Callithrix jacchus: one gene and its partner. The protein of the gene in region 1 purifies or fractionates together with the protein of each later gene. This does not show direct contact. Links are inferred from orthologs where the notes say so. Each region holds a gene or a part of one and is shown on either strand. Other genes may lie near its edges.

Region 1 (7,106 bases):
ATATGCTTTCTGGTCCTAGTATTTATTATAATGATTATGCTCCTGTAATCAAAGTTTACCACCCTCAAAAACCTATCTGTAAAGTGGATTGGACATGGTCTGAAAAAATGAATGTATTTTCCTGGGAAGACTGTATCACAGGGCAGGCAGAGGTGTTGCATAGTGATTCATATGGAGTCATTATTGACTGGTCCCCTAAAGAGGCATTTATGAGGCCCACCTCTCAGTCTGTAGGTATTGGTCACCCTGCATCTAAACAAAATGATCAGAGGGTGGAAACCATAAGAAGTACAGCAAAAGTTCCTATTATCTGGGCATAATGGTGGTATAGTGGAACCTCAACTTCAAATGATATGGCCAGTTGTAGAAGCCAAACATAAGGAGTTATGGAAAATATTAATGGCACTGAAAAAGGTAAAGATTTGGGAAGGAAAACACACTAAGCCAACCCAATATAATTTTAATTACATGTTAGAATTGGTTCACAATTATACAGTCTGGATATAGAGTTGCATCCACCCCCTTTCCTGCTTGTGATGGGCGATTTAAAACTTGATCTCCCTAATAATCATGTGACTTGATTTGTCAAGAATGTAGATTGTTTTCTTGTGTGAATTCTTCCTTGTATAATACTGATTATTCCATTTTAGTGGTAAGAGCCCAAGAAGGAGTATGGATATCTGTGAAGCTTTCCCATCCTTGGGAGTCCTCTCCTTCTGTGCCTATTATTACTGAAATTCTTCAAAAGATCTTGAGGCACTCTTGGTGTTTCATTGCTACTTTAATCATTATGGGACCGATTGCTGTCCCAGCTACTGCTGCAGTAGCTGGAGTTGCTTTACGTTCAACAGTGCAAACAGCAGACCAGCAGACTATGTAAATACATGGGAGAAAATTCTGCTCTGCTGTGGAATTCTCAAACTAAAATAGATCAGAACATAGCTAATCAGATTAATAACCTCCGACAAACTGTCGTATGGTTGGGAGATTGAGTAATGAGTTTAGAATATAGAGTGCAACTGAAATGTGATTGGGATACTTCTGTTTTCTGTGTTACTCCTCATCTTTATAATGAGTCAGAACATGAATGGGAAAGAGTTAAGAGACAGTTAAAGGCTCATGCTGACCAGAGAGGTCCATCTACATACTCAGTGTTTGGTGAATTCCTCTCCTGACCTTGCTGCCTCTAGAAGTGTTCAGGTGGAAATTGGGAGGTATATAAGAGGCAATGTGGCAGGAGACGGTGGCTCACGTCTGTGAGCCAAAATAGGACCACTTCAGTCCAGGAGTTTAAGACCAGCCTGGGCAACATAGTGAGATCCATCTCTACTAAAAATTTAAAAATTCACCAGGTGTGATGGTGTGCACCTGCAGTCCCAGCTACTCGGGAGGGTGAGAGGATCGCTGGACCCTGGAGTTCAAGGTTGCAGTGAGCCATGATCAGTCCACTGTACCCCAGCCTGGGTGATAGAGCAAGATCCTGTCTCAAAACATAAATAAATAAATAAATAAATAAATAAATAAATAAAATAGGCCGTGCATGGTGGCTCACGACTGTAATCCCAGCATTCTGGAAGGTGGAGGCCAGCGGATAACCTGAGGTCAGAGTTCGAGACCAGCCTGGCCAACGTGGTGAGAGAAACCACAAGGAAAATCCAATCTACTAAAAATATATAAATTAGCCAGGCATGGTGGCGGGCGCCCACTCGGGAGTCTGCAGCAGGAGAATGATTTGAACCTGGGAGGCGGAAGTTGCAGTGAGCCGAGATCGCCTCACTGCACTGCAGCCTGACACTAAAACAAGAGGCAATTTCCCACAGCAGTGGAAGTTTGAGCTGTGTAAACTCCGGATGCCTTTTCAGTTCTAATAATCCAGATCTCCGTGCTGAATAAACACTTCATTTCCCTTCTCCTGCGCAGAGCTCCTGAGTTGTGGCCCTTTGGGAACCTGCCACCTTTTAAAGTGTCCAAGGTTGGGACTGTCTCTCTGGGAGCCCTGAGGCTGATGAAACCGAGCGAGAGGGGTCCGTGCCGTTCAGTCTCCTCAAGGCCCCAGGGAGGCCACCAGAGGGCACCGCCGGGACCGACCGCAAGAGCAACTTCCTTCCTCTTGCGCTAACTTCCCGGCAGCCGGCAGCTAGCCGCTCCGGGCAGGGGCCGCCGGCTTCCCCCTGGAGTTCCCCAGCTTCAGAGAAAGCCAAGCTTCAGGCGCAGCGAACGCTGAGCAGGAGCAGAAGCTCCGGCCTGCCCGGGGTGGCGCTGGGTCGGCGGGTGCCTTCTCGGGGGTCCCCGGCCGTGCTTGCGCCTGGTGGCCAGTCACCCAGCTCCTCGCCCTGAGCGAGCCCGACCCCTCCGGGCACGCCCGAGTCGCTCCGGGTTGGCTGCACCAGCTCAGAGTTAAACTTTCAGCCAATGAAAAAGGGCATGGGGCATGACACACGGAAACGTCATGGGAATTCCCCCTCGGGGGTTCGAGAAGGGGCTTTCCCGGCCCCGAGCCCTGTTGGCTGGCGAGGTGTCTTGGTCGGTCCCAGGTGGGTCGGGCGCGGAGAGAAGCCGGAACCGGAGCTGCCGCCGCCACGGTGAGTGGCTGGGTTCAGACCCCTGGGTGGCCGGGACAAGAGAAGAGCGGGAGGAGGGCCCTTAGTGGACAGCGCCGGGGCTGGAGAGCAGCAGCTGCACACATCCAGAGAGGACGCGCAGGCGACGACACTCGGATCCACGTCGACACCCTCGTACAAAGACACGCGGACCCGTACGTACACCTGCGCCTGTGCTGGCGCACACACATGCACTCGGAGACGCGCCCGCCAGTGCACTGGTACCTGCACCCACACCCTCCATGCACAAACTCAAGATACACTCACCTGTGCCTGTACATTAAGACAGGCGCTGACCCGCACCCACAGTGAGAATCTCGGGACTCACCTGTGGACACATATGCTCGCTTGCACACTCATGTTGACGCCATGCACACACAACATGCACCCAAGCACTACAGCTGAAACTTGCAGAGTTGTGATGGAGACACACGCTCGTATTGGGTGGGAAGCGTGCAGAGGTTTCGCTGTTGCCTGCGCGCCCAGAGCCAGTGCGGTGTGGGACCAGCAGCTGTTGTGAGGTTTGGGAAAGAAAAGAGGAGCCTATCCCAAGGAGGAGACACTTTTCCCGCGGCCCCAGAATCGCGTTTTTGGGGCAGAACCCCAGGGCCTCCCCCGGGAGAGCCCCCGCCTACAGGCAGTTCGAAGAGGCCTCAGGAATGTCCCCCCAAAAGCCCCCGGGGTTTATCAGCCTCCCTCATGACAGAAAATCCCAAGGTTGCTCCAGACCATGGGAGGGGAGCGGGAAGCGGACTTGGCCCCAGACTGCCAGCCTCCCCAGGCTGTGAAGGACCCTCCTGTTCCCTTTCCTGGAGGGAGGAGGGAGCTTAACTCCCACTGGAGCTTCCTGGATTCTCCTCGCCCTCTGCCCCCAGCTCTTCAGCGGGCACCAACTGACCGGCGAGGACCTCTAGCCCCTCCCGTCGTGAGGGCGGGGAAAGTGGCGTCATTTCCAGGCCCGCCCCCTCCGGCCCCGCCTCCCCCTGGTATTTTCGGGACTTTCCTAAGCTGCTCTAACTTTCCTGCCCCTTCCCCGGCCAAGCCCAACTCCGGATCTCACTCTCCACCGGATCTCACCCGCCACACCCGGACAGGCGTCTGGAGGAGATCGGACCCTCCCCCAAATCTGGGCCCCCATCTTCCGCCCACCCCCACTGTAGATCTGACCCCCTCCCCTCCACCACTCCTCCCAACTTTAGGCTGGCGCCTAAAATTCTGGGAAGCAGAACCTGGCCGGAGCCACTAGACAGAGCCGGGCCTAGCCCAGAGACATGGAGAGTTGCTACAACCCAGTGAGTCACGCCGCCTGGCCCCGACCCGGCCGGCTTCCCCCCCTCGCCCCCCCCCCCGTGTCTGTCCACCGGTCTACTGGAGCCCCCTCTGCTGCCTTACACCTGCATGCTCACAGGTGCCAGTCTGTCCATCTGTCTGCAACTCTGCTTCCAAAAGGAGCTTTCTCTTATGCCTGAGGAGGAGGGGCGAGTGACCACTGAGGACTTGGAGATGGGAGGTGGGGCGTGGGGCACTGAGAGTCAGATGCCACCCCCAGTCTCTCACCAAACCAGGGTCTGGATGGTATTATTGACTATGATGATTTCAAATTGAACTCCTCCATTGTGGAACCCAAGGAGCCAGCACCAGAGACAGGTCAGTAAGTTCACTAACCTCCTCTAGTCCTAAAGGAAGGGGGAGGGAGAGCATGTGCCCTCTGCCTGGGGGAGGGGCTTGGAGATCGTGGCTCAGCTAGGTCTCTCTGTCCCCAGCTGATGGCCCCTACCTGGTGATAGTGGAACAGCCTAAGCAGGTGAGTGAGCAAAAGGGAGAGTGTGGAATGCTTTCAGCTTTGGGGACAAATGGGGTAGTTGTAGCTAGCTGCAAGCAGTGACCATCTAATCCCCTGTGGCCTCCTTGGACAAGGACATGGAGGGGTCCTTGTCCAAGGAGGCCACAGGGGATTAGATGGTCACTGCTGCTGATCATTGGGCTGTGGTTGTGGGTCAGGGCAGATACTACCAGGCACTGTGGTCACTGCTGGCCAGGGTATGGCTGGCTGGTGGAGGAGGGGTCTTCCCTGATCAGAATGTCACTCTGCCCTTGGACCTTCAGAGAGGCTTCCGATTTCGATATGGCTGTGAAGGCCCCTCCCATGGAGGGCTGCCTGGTGCCTCCAGTGAGAAGGGCCGGAAGACCTATCCCACTGTCAAGGTGAGCCAGGATGGTGCTGGAGGGTGGGCTGAGTGGACAGCACACCCAAGACCATGACTGACAGTCCCCGCCCCTCCTAGATCTGTAACTATGAGGGACCAGCCAAGATCGAAGTGGACCTGGTAACACACAGTGACCCACCTCGTGCTCATGCCCACAGTCTGGTGGGCAAGCAGTGCTCGGAGCTGGGGGTCTGTGCCGTTTCTGTAGGGCCCAAGGACATGACTGCCCAGTAAGTGCCCTCTACCCCTGACCCCCATGGGATTGCCCCACATTGCCTGCCAGTCCTAGGCCCCAGCCCACCTCTGTGAGCTTAGCATCTTACCAAGGGGAGAGCCTTAGGTTGGTCCCCAAACCCAAGGGCCCAAGTAAAATCTACAATGGCTTCCTTGAAGAGGCTGAGCTGAGCCCTGGCAATGGGGAAGATGCCTCAGGAAGGAAGAGCTGCATGGGCCAAGGCCTCTGATTCCCCCTTCTCAGATTTAACAACTTGGGTGTCCTGCATGTGACCAAGAAGAACATGATGGAGATTATGATACAAAAACTTCAGAGGCAGCGGCTCCGCTCCAGGCCCCAGGGCCTTACAGGTATGGGTGCAGGCGGGTCATGGGAGGTGCTCATGGAAGGAGCAGGGAGAGAGAAGCCCAGGTGTCACACATGTGCCCACTGCCCAGAGGCTGAGCGGCGGGAGCTGGAGCAGGAGGCCAAAGAACTGAAGAAGGTGATGGACCTGAGTATCGTCCGGCTGCGCTTCTCTGCCTTCCTTCGAGCCAGTGATGGCTCCTTCTCTCTGCCCCTGAAGCCAGTCATCTCCCAGCCCATCCATGACAGCAGTGAGTATCCTGACTGCCTAGGGTGCCAGGCCTGGTGGCAGAGGTAGCATGAGGGGTGACCTCAAGCTGTGGAGTCAAATAGGCCTGGGTTTCAGAACCTGGCCCTGTCACATATGAGCCGAGTGATCTTGAGCAAGTCATTTTCCCTCCTGAAGCTTCTGTTTTTAGTAAATGCATACATTGGGTGGTTCCTGCAGCACCTGGGTTGCTGAGACAACGAATACAAAGCACTCAGCTCCTTAAATGTGGCCATGGCTTTGGCATCATCTCAGCTAATCCATATCCCACCCCAGAGTCTCCGGGGGCATCAAACCTGAAGATTTCTCGAATGGACAAAACAGCAGGCTCTGTTCGGGGTGGAGATGAAGTTTACCTGCTTTGTGACAAGGTGCAGAAAGGTGAGACTGGAGCCCAGGCTGGGCGCCACGGACATCCAGTGGACAACTGAGGCCAGGGAAGCTCTTGGGTAAATGGCCCCAGAGATTTGCACCAGGAGCTGCGGCCAAGCCTCCATTTTCCTTGTAGATGACATTGAGGTTCGGTTCTATGAGGATGATGAGAATGGATGGCAGGCCTTTGGGGACTTCTCTCCCACAGATGTGCACAAACAGGTACCCAGGGCTAGGGCCCCGGCTGGGGGCTGAATTAGGCTAAGGACTCACTGACACCCTGTGTCTCCCTGCACCCCTCAGTATGCCATTGTGTTCCGGACACCCCCCTATCACAAGATGAAGATTGAGCGGCCTGTAACCGTGTTCCTGCAACTAAAGCGCAAGCGAGGCGGGGACGTGTCTGATTCCAAACAGTTCACCTATTACCCGCTGGTGGAAGGTGGAGCTGGGCTGAGGACCCCTGGGGGATGGCGGGGGGCCAGGCTGGGCTAGAAGAGGGTCTAGATGTGGGAGTGCATGAGCCAAGCCAGGAGTGTGGAAGCTCCCAGGGGGCGCTTCCTAGGAACCAGCCTGAGGGTTCTTCTGGGAAGGGCCCCTGAGGCATGATACAATAATTGGGCTCAATCTCATTTTCCTCTGTCCCCAGACAAGGAAGAGGTGCAGCGGAAGCGGAGGAAGGCCTTGCCCACCTTCTCCCAGCCTTTTGGGGGCGGCTCCCACATGGGTGGAGGCTCTGGGGGCTCGGCCGGGGGCTATGGAGGAGCTGGAGGAGGAGGTGAGGGAGTGCTGATGGAGGGAGGGGTAAAGGTAAGAGAAGCTGTGGAGGAAAAAAATCTGGGAGAGACTGGGCTCAGTGGCTCACACCTGTAATCCCAGCACTTTGGGAGGCTGAGGCAGGTGGATTACCTGAGTGCAGGAGTTTGAGACCAGCCTGGCCAACATGGTGAAACCCTGTCTCTACTAAAAATACAAAAATTAACTGGACATGGTGGCAGACACCTGTAATCCCAGCTACTCAGGAGGTTGAGGCAGGAGAATCACTTAAACCCAGGACGCAGAGGTTGTAGAGAGCCAAG
Region 2 (7,293 bases), on another chromosome or scaffold:
TGTTGTTACCCAGGCTGGAGTGCAATGGCGCGATCTAGGTTCACTCCAACTTCTGCCTCCCGGGTTCAAGCAATTCTCCTATCTTAGCCTCTCAAGTAGCTGGGATTACAGGTGCCCGCCACCACGCCAGGCTAATTTTTGTATTTTTAGTAGAGATGGGGTTTCACCATGTTGGTCAGGCTGGTCTCGAACTCCTGACCCCAGGTGATCCACCTGCCTGGGCTTCCCAATGTGCTGGGATTACAGGCATGAGCCACTGTGCCCAGCCAGAACTCCATTTTCAAATTTACTTCTATAGTCGGAGCTCTAGCCCAGCCGACACTCCAGCATTCTGGCAACTAAGGTGGCCCTCCTCCACCCCTTCCCTCTGCCTTTACCCGAATTACTGCATGCCCGTCATTCAGCCCCGCACCTTGCCCAAGGTCAGGTCTGTATTGCTGGGTTCTCTGACTACATCTCTCCCACCTCTGGCTTGGGTCCTGCCCTACCGCTGCTGGTGTTCAAATCACTGCCACCCAAGGTTGTCTTTTCATAACCTGAATTCTCCAGCTCCGACGCTGCCACCCACCCTGCCTGTGTTCACTATGACCAAGGTCTTTTCTCCAACTCTGGCTGAGTTCTACTTTTGCCACCACCTTAGCTTTTCAGCCACGTCTGCCCAAGCTCTTCCCACCGCCCCACCCAGGTCTGTTCTTACTAGTGCCCCATGTCACTGGTGCTGCCACCTGCCTGAGTTCTCCAGCAGCAGCAGCCCAAGGTCGGTCTCCACGTGCACCTAATTATCTTCTCCTGCTTCCTGCCTGCCGGTCTACCCTGACCCCCCAGCTGGGCAGCCCTGTCTCGCCTCCTGACTCACGCCCTCATCTCCGCTGTCGCTGTCGCTACTGCTGCTCCAGGGGCCGGGTCTGTCGTCCTCGTCCTCAGGCTCAGGGGCTCCGTGTTGACGGAGGAGGCGGGCAAGGATGGGGTTGGGCCGGAGCATGGCACTGCCCAGGGGAGTGCAGCCACCGTACATGTGGGCAGCAGGGTTGGCACCTGCCCTCAGGAGAAGCTCTAGTACATCGGCCGCCTGGGCCTCCACTGCCAAGTGCAGGGGGCTCCGGCCACACGTGGGCTCCTGTGGGTGCAGCAGAAGGGTCAGAGGGCCCAAGGAGGGGACCAGCCCCCTCCTGACGACAGCAGCTTCCCCCAGGGTGGTGCTCACCGGTTTGTTGAGGTCAGCTCCGGCATCTCGGAGCAGCTGGACCATCTCTGCATCTTTGTGGATAACAGCCACGTGGAGTGGGGTGTGGCCTGGGGACAGAGTGACGCATCAGATGATGGGGTGAGGGGTCCCCCATGCTTTGATCCTGGGGGAGGACCACGTGGCCTGAGGGTGATCAGGTGTGGGGCTGGTTCCTGAACCTTTGGGTATGTCAAAGAGGTACCTGGGTCCTAAATGTGTGTGTCGGATGGCCTTAGCTTGCCGGCAAGTGCTAGAGCCTGGGCTTTGAGAAGCCTGGGGCTCATGGGTGAAGAGCCTGGGGTCTGTGGATGGGGGGCTGGGATGTTGGGGCCAGGAGACCTAAGTCTCTGCTCTTAATTCACAAAGGACCTGAGCTGGTGCGCTGGCTCATGCCTGTAATCCCAACACTTTGAGAGGCCAAAGCAGGCAGATCACAAGGTCAGGAGATCGAGACCATCCTGGCCAACATGGTGAAACTCCATCTCTAGTAAATCCACAAATTAGCCGGGTGTGGTGGCAGGCACCTATAGTCCCAGCTACTCCGGAGGCTGAGGCAGGAGAATTGCTTGAACCCAGGAGGTGGAGGGTGCAGTGAGCTGAAATCACACCACTGCACTCCAGCCTGGTGGAGAGTGGGACTCCGACTCAAAAAAAAAAAAAAAAAAAAAAAAAAAAGGGGGGGCTACCAAGTGGCTGAAAAGCCTGTGATCTGGGGGTGAGATGCAGGCCCTTAACAATGGGTCCTGAACGACCTCAGTCCATCTGAGGAGGGGTCTGGTACCAGGTGGGCAGGCTTATAGGTGAGGGAGCAGAAACTTGGATGCCAGGCTGTGGGCAGGTGACTCCTTTTTCCCATGAGGCAGAGGAGGGCTGTCCCTGCTGCCCATCACTGGGAACCTGGGGTGCCAGAGTTTCCCAGAGGGCCTGAGCTCTGCATTCCCTGGTCCTAGGTGGGGTAGGGATACCAGCTTGAATACACCCTGCAGGTGGGGAGCCCAAGGGCCCAGCAACTGGATCCTGGCAGCTCTGGGTCTATGAGTGCCAGGTCTGCGTCCCAAGTGATCTGGGGCCTCCAAGTGGGAATCCTGGGTCTTACATATCCAATTGTCAATCATCTGGGCCCTGAGTGGAGGTCCCTGGTCCCGATGCCTGGGTTCCTGAAGCCTAGGCGTGATTTCCCAAGGAGTTCGGTCTGGAATCAGGGAAGAGAGCCCAGGGCCAGGTGCTCTCACCTAGCCTGGGAGCTCAGTCCTTCCCTGGTGGCGACCCTCACCCTCATAGTTTTCAGCCTCCAGCTGTAGCTTCCACTCCTCCTCACTCTCCTCTTCTTCCTTCTCCAAGTCAGAATCGGGGTACAAGGTGACAGGGGTATGGTTGGTGTCGGGATTGTGGTCTGGGCCATGAGCGAGGTAGGTGTCCGGGGCTTCCCTGGGCCGCCGAGGGCGGGGCTGAAGCAGGGCACGGGCACAGGCAAGTGCCCCCACACGGCAGGCCAGGTGTAGCGCCGTGTGGCCCCCACGCTCTGCCACGCACAGCCCAGCGCCTGCTGCATACAGCTTCTCCACCGTGGATGCCTCCCCCAGGATGGCTGCCAGGTGCAGGGCCGTCTGCAGAAGCAGAGGACAGGCAGTAGGGAGTCACACTGGGAACCCCAGACCCCAACCCCTACTCCATCCCCTCGTGGCTCACCTGGCCTAGGTCATTCTGCAGGTCCATGTACTCAGTGCCGGCTGAGAAGCCTAGAAGAAAATCCAGGAAGGGTTCGTGCTGATGAATCACAGCCAAATGCAGTGCCCTGGGGACAAAGACTGGGGTCAGAGGGCAAAATTCAAGTCCTCTTGCATTCCTTCATTCAACAAACATGGGGTGGCTACTGTATGCTAGGCTTTGGGACCACAGTTCTGGAACCCACTGTCAGCTATCTGGGAGGGTCAGAGAGGTCAGAGTTTCATCAGCAAATTTGTGGAACCAACAATGTTTATTCAGTGGGATTTCCACTTCTGCCCAAAATGAAGTAACATGGACCAGACTTCCCTCCCACAAGAAACAAAGAAAAATCAGACGCAATACGGTATATGAAGCAACAGTGTTGAAGACGCTGGACGTCATGCAATGAATCACAGTGGCCCCCGAAAGACAGGAAACATGAGGTGGGCCCTACACTTGACTGCCACAGCTTATGGTCTTGAGAGCCACGGTTGAGAGAGGGGACCCCAAGCAGAGCCCATCAGGTTGTCTGAGGTCAGGAGATGGACATGGAGGAAGAGTCTGTAGAGACCAGGCTTGCAAGAGTCACAGGACAGAGTTGTTGGCCAGGCGCAGTAGCTCACACTTTGGAGTGAGCTAAGAATCAAAGACCAATTGAAAACTAAAATAAAATTAATGAAACCAAATTAATTAACAAAAATTAATAAACCTAAAGCTGGTTCTTTGGTAAGATCAGTATTTATTAACTGCTTCCTGGGACAGGCACTGCCTGCATCACTGGGCATAGGGCAGTAAACACAACAGACAAAAAAACCCAGTACAGTCCCTCATCTGGGCCTTTGCAATTGCAGTTCCTTCTGCCTGAAATGCTCTTATCTTGTTTATCTATTGCCTCATTTTCCTGCTTTATTTTTCTCCAAAGTACTGACAACCTGTGACTTTCTTTCCTTCTCTTACTTTCTGTGTCTTTCTTTCTGCATGTCTTTGTTTCTTTCTGTCTTTCTGTTTCTTTCCTTCCTTGCTGTCTTATCAATCTGTTTAGCCCCACTAAAATAAAACGTCTCCTTCACAAGGGCTTTAGTTTTTTGTCTGTTTTCTTCACTGCCTTTATCACTAGCACCTAAAACGAAGCCTGGAATGTGGTAATATGTAAAGAATATTTGTTCAACAGATGAATCCTTGGTTTCATGGAGCTTACATTCTTTTTTCTTTTTCTATTTTTCTACTTCAATTAGGAATTCAACATAGGAGAACTTACATTCTCACTCTTTTAAGACTTGAAGAACACTGCTCAGAAAACAAGATCTTAGAGTCAGGGACCAAGTATTAATTTCGGAAATCAGTCTAAGGCTCACATCAGGAACTAAGAATCAAAGATTATATTTGGAGGTTCGAAGTCAGGAGAAGCCACAGTTCTAACAAAAGCCTCAGGACTGGAGTCGGGTTTGGGTATCCGTGGACAGAATGTGGATTCCAGGAGCTGAGAATCATAGTTCAAGAAAGGAAGGTCTGAAATGATTGGGTTAGCATCACAGCTGGATAGAAGATTGGTTTTGTTAAAAGTTAGGACTCAGGGGTTACAGGTCAGGAAGTTCAGCATCGGAAATCAGATTTAGGAGTAGGAGGTTAGGAAGCCTCAGGGATCAGAAACTAATGGGGAATCAGACGCCGGGTCCTAGGGCTCCGTTTGGCAACCTAAGGTTCACTCACGTGTCCCCATCCTCAGTGACGTAGCCGAAGACAAGGGGCGCCCACGACAGCCCCGGGCCCAGCTCTGCGACCAAGCCCGGTCCTCCGGGGGCCGCTGCGTCCGGACCCAGGGAGCCCAGGCCGCTGTCGCACCATTCATCTGCGTCGGCAGCTTTTCCCAAGCACGCGACCCCAGCCATGGCCCCCGCCACCTCAGGGGCCCCCCGCAGTCGCTTGCCTGGAGCTGGGCTTTGCCGGCAGTTCTGGCGCTTCCGCCCTGCGGGAAATTCCCCACCACGCCCCCTAATTCATCCAATGATAATATGCTGAATCGCTCGCGCCCTACCCTGGTACCATATCGTGACCAATCAGAGTATTTGGGAGGACTACGACTCACTAGCCGTTTTTACATTTTCCGGGCGCCCTTTACCAACATGGCTGCTGACGCCGCGCCTTCTGGGACTCGAAGTCCGGCCCTAGCGCGCTTTCTTACCTAAGTCTGGGGCGCTCTGGCTGTCGTACGAAAGCGCGGCTTCTGCCGCAATGGCTACTGGGAGTTGTAGTTCTAAGCCCTATCCCGGCCACTCCCATTTCTGGTGCCGTCACGGGACAGAGCAGTCGGTGACAGGACAGAGCAGTCGGTGACGGGACACAGTGGTTGGTGACGGGACAGAGCGATCGGTGACAGCCACGAGGGCTTCAGCACCGTGCCCATGGCAGAGCCAGACCGTGAGTCGGGGACCCGGGTGGGAGGGTCGGGCCGCGCCGGGGCCTAGCTGAAGGCTGCAGGCCCCGGGGCCCGAGGGCGGCCGCTGCGGGGCGGGAAGTAGGGAGCGCTTCGGATAGTGGGATTCTGAGGGTTGTTGCTAAGCGATCTGTATCGCTAGGCTGGTGGGTTTCTGGGTCGCAGGTTGTTCGGGGTTGGTTTATCACATCCGCTTGCCAAGTTGCCAATAATGGCGTGTTTTTCGTATCTTGGTTGCTGAGGACCCTCGCTGCAAAGAACCTAAGTTGCCGCGGTCCCTGTTGCTAAGGGTACCTAATTGTTAGAGGCAACCGGAGGATGCTGAGGGACCCCTGTTGTCCCCTCCTATGGCTTCCCTTCGTATCCGCGCCTCTCCCAAACCTACCGCCTCCACTGCACCACTGCACCTCCCTCCCAGACCTGCCTCCCAGCCGAAGCGTCCCCTCCCTTCTCCCTTCCTTTCTAAACTTCCCTCTGCCTTGTAAACCTAACCCTCCCGCACACACACTCACACTGCTGCGTCCTTCCTAACTCCTCCTGAGTGTTCCTTCATGCCCTGAATCCCCTAGGCAGGAGGAAGGAGGATCGCTTGAGCCCAGGAGTTTGAGGCTGCAGTGAGCTATGATCGCACCATTGCACTCCAGCCTGGGTGACATGAGCCAGGCCCTTTCTCTAAAAAGTAAAAGACAAAGAAAGTCAGGGCCAGACACAATGGCTCATGCCTGTAATCCCAGTACTTTGGGAGGCCAAGGTGGTTGGATCGATTGAGCCCAGGAGTTCAAGACCAGCCTGGGCAAAAGCCCCTACTTCTCCCTGTCCTCCTAAATCTTCCTCCCCAGCCTCTCTGCCCCTCACTAATCACCTCCCCGGGCACCACTTTGCATGCGGATAAGATATTTTCTCCCATCCCCTCTTTCCCTCTGCTCCAATTTTACCACCACCCCGTCCCAGTGTAACTAGGTTGGTGGGTGTTCTTGCCCCCTCACTGACAATTTGAACCCTTGTGTTCCCCCCTTAATCGTTCTCCCTACTGTAACCACCTCTGCTCCCCTCCCCCAGCCTCTCACCCTCTGGAGACCCAGGCAGGGAAGGTGCAGGAGGCTCAGGTGAGATGGGGGAAATGGTGGAGGGGAGGAGAGACATGGACTTGTTCCACATCCCATGCTGGGGGGAGGTGGCAAAGGAGAGACAGTCACCCCAGGGCCCTTGGCTCATTGTCCCAATCCTCACGCCACCCAGGGCAGCTTTATGGGGACAGGCAGATTCTGGGGATTGTCACAGAAGAGTTTGCAGTCTCGAGTCCAGGCTTGCCCTCCCAAACTCTCCTCCTTCCTTGCCACTGCCTCCCATCCCTTCTAAACCAAATTTGTCCTGGGCCTGGAAGAGACAGGTGTCCCATTTGGTCTTGGAACACACAGATCTCATGGACAAGTAATGGGAAAAATGATCCGACAGCCTGATGATGAAAGGAACTCAGGGTACGGGCGGGGGAGGCAGGTGCAGTGGCTTATACCTGTAATCCTAATAACTCAGGAGGCTAAGGCATGAGGGTCACTTGAGTCCAGGAGTTTGAGGCTGCAGTGAGCTATGATTGCATAGTGACACTCCACCCTGGGTAAAAGAGCAAGACCCTTTCTCTAAGAAGTAAAAAAGAAAGAAAGAAAGTAACTCAGGGCCCGACACAGTGGCTCATGCTTGTAATTCCATTACTTTGCGAGGCTAGGGTAGGAGGATCGCTTGAGCCCGGGAGTTTCAGACCAGTCTGGCCAACATAGGTGGCCCCCATCTCTATAAAAAATTTAGAAATTAGCCATGTGTAGTGTTTCATGCCTGTAGTGCCAGCTACTCAGGAGGCTGAGTGGGGGGAGGATTGCTTAAGCCCAGGAGGTTGAGGCCGTGGTGTGCCATGATTGTGACATTACACTCC

The links. The genes of interacting proteins can lie anywhere in the genome.
Region 2: the proteins of NFKB2 (region 1) and NFKBIB purify together in Homo sapiens (affinity purification with mass spectrometry; 4 studies listed by BioGRID and IntAct, counting the BioPlex papers as one, with this or other methods). This does not show direct contact. The link is inferred for Callithrix jacchus from reciprocal best matches to the Homo sapiens genes NFKB2 and NFKBIB.

Annotation. Positions count from the first base shown.
Region 1 is NC_133513.1:95,386,395-95,393,500, forward strand, and holds the start of NFKB2 (nuclear factor NF-kappa-B p100 subunit), read left to right. Parts: upstream 1-2,473; 5' UTR 2,474-2,755; intron 2,756-2,928; exon of another isoform or gene 2,929-3,043; intron 3,044-3,799; 5' UTR 3,800-3,871; coding exon 3,872-3,892; intron 3,893-4,165; coding exon 4,166-4,247; intron 4,248-4,363; coding exon 4,364-4,404; intron 4,405-4,706; coding exon 4,707-4,805; intron 4,806-4,885; coding exon 4,886-5,037; intron 5,038-5,285; coding exon 5,286-5,392; intron 5,393-5,479; coding exon 5,480-5,638; intron 5,639-5,835; coding exon 5,836-6,036; intron 6,037-6,163; coding exon 6,164-6,249; intron 6,250-6,330; coding exon 6,331-6,469; intron 6,470-6,676; coding exon 6,677-6,805; intron 6,806-7,106. UniProt on the Homo sapiens protein: NF-kappa-B is a pleiotropic transcription factor present in almost all cell types and is the endpoint of a series of signal transduction events that are initiated by a vast array of stimuli related to many biological processes such as inflammation, immunity, differentiation, cell growth, tumorigenesis and apoptosis.
Region 2 is NC_133523.1:34,460,014-34,467,306, reverse strand, and holds the start of NFKBIB (NF-kappa-B inhibitor beta), read right to left. Parts: upstream 4,915-7,293; 5' UTR 4,822-4,914; coding exon 4,643-4,821; intron 3,021-4,642; coding exon 2,915-3,020; intron 2,833-2,914; coding exon 2,499-2,832; intron 1,294-2,498; coding exon 1,205-1,293; intron 1,118-1,204; coding exon 857-1,117; intron 1-856. Other genes in the region: SIRT2 (NAD-dependent protein deacetylase sirtuin-2), read left to right, coding at 5,335-5,350, 6,426-6,472. UniProt on the Homo sapiens protein: Inhibits NF-kappa-B by complexing with and trapping it in the cytoplasm.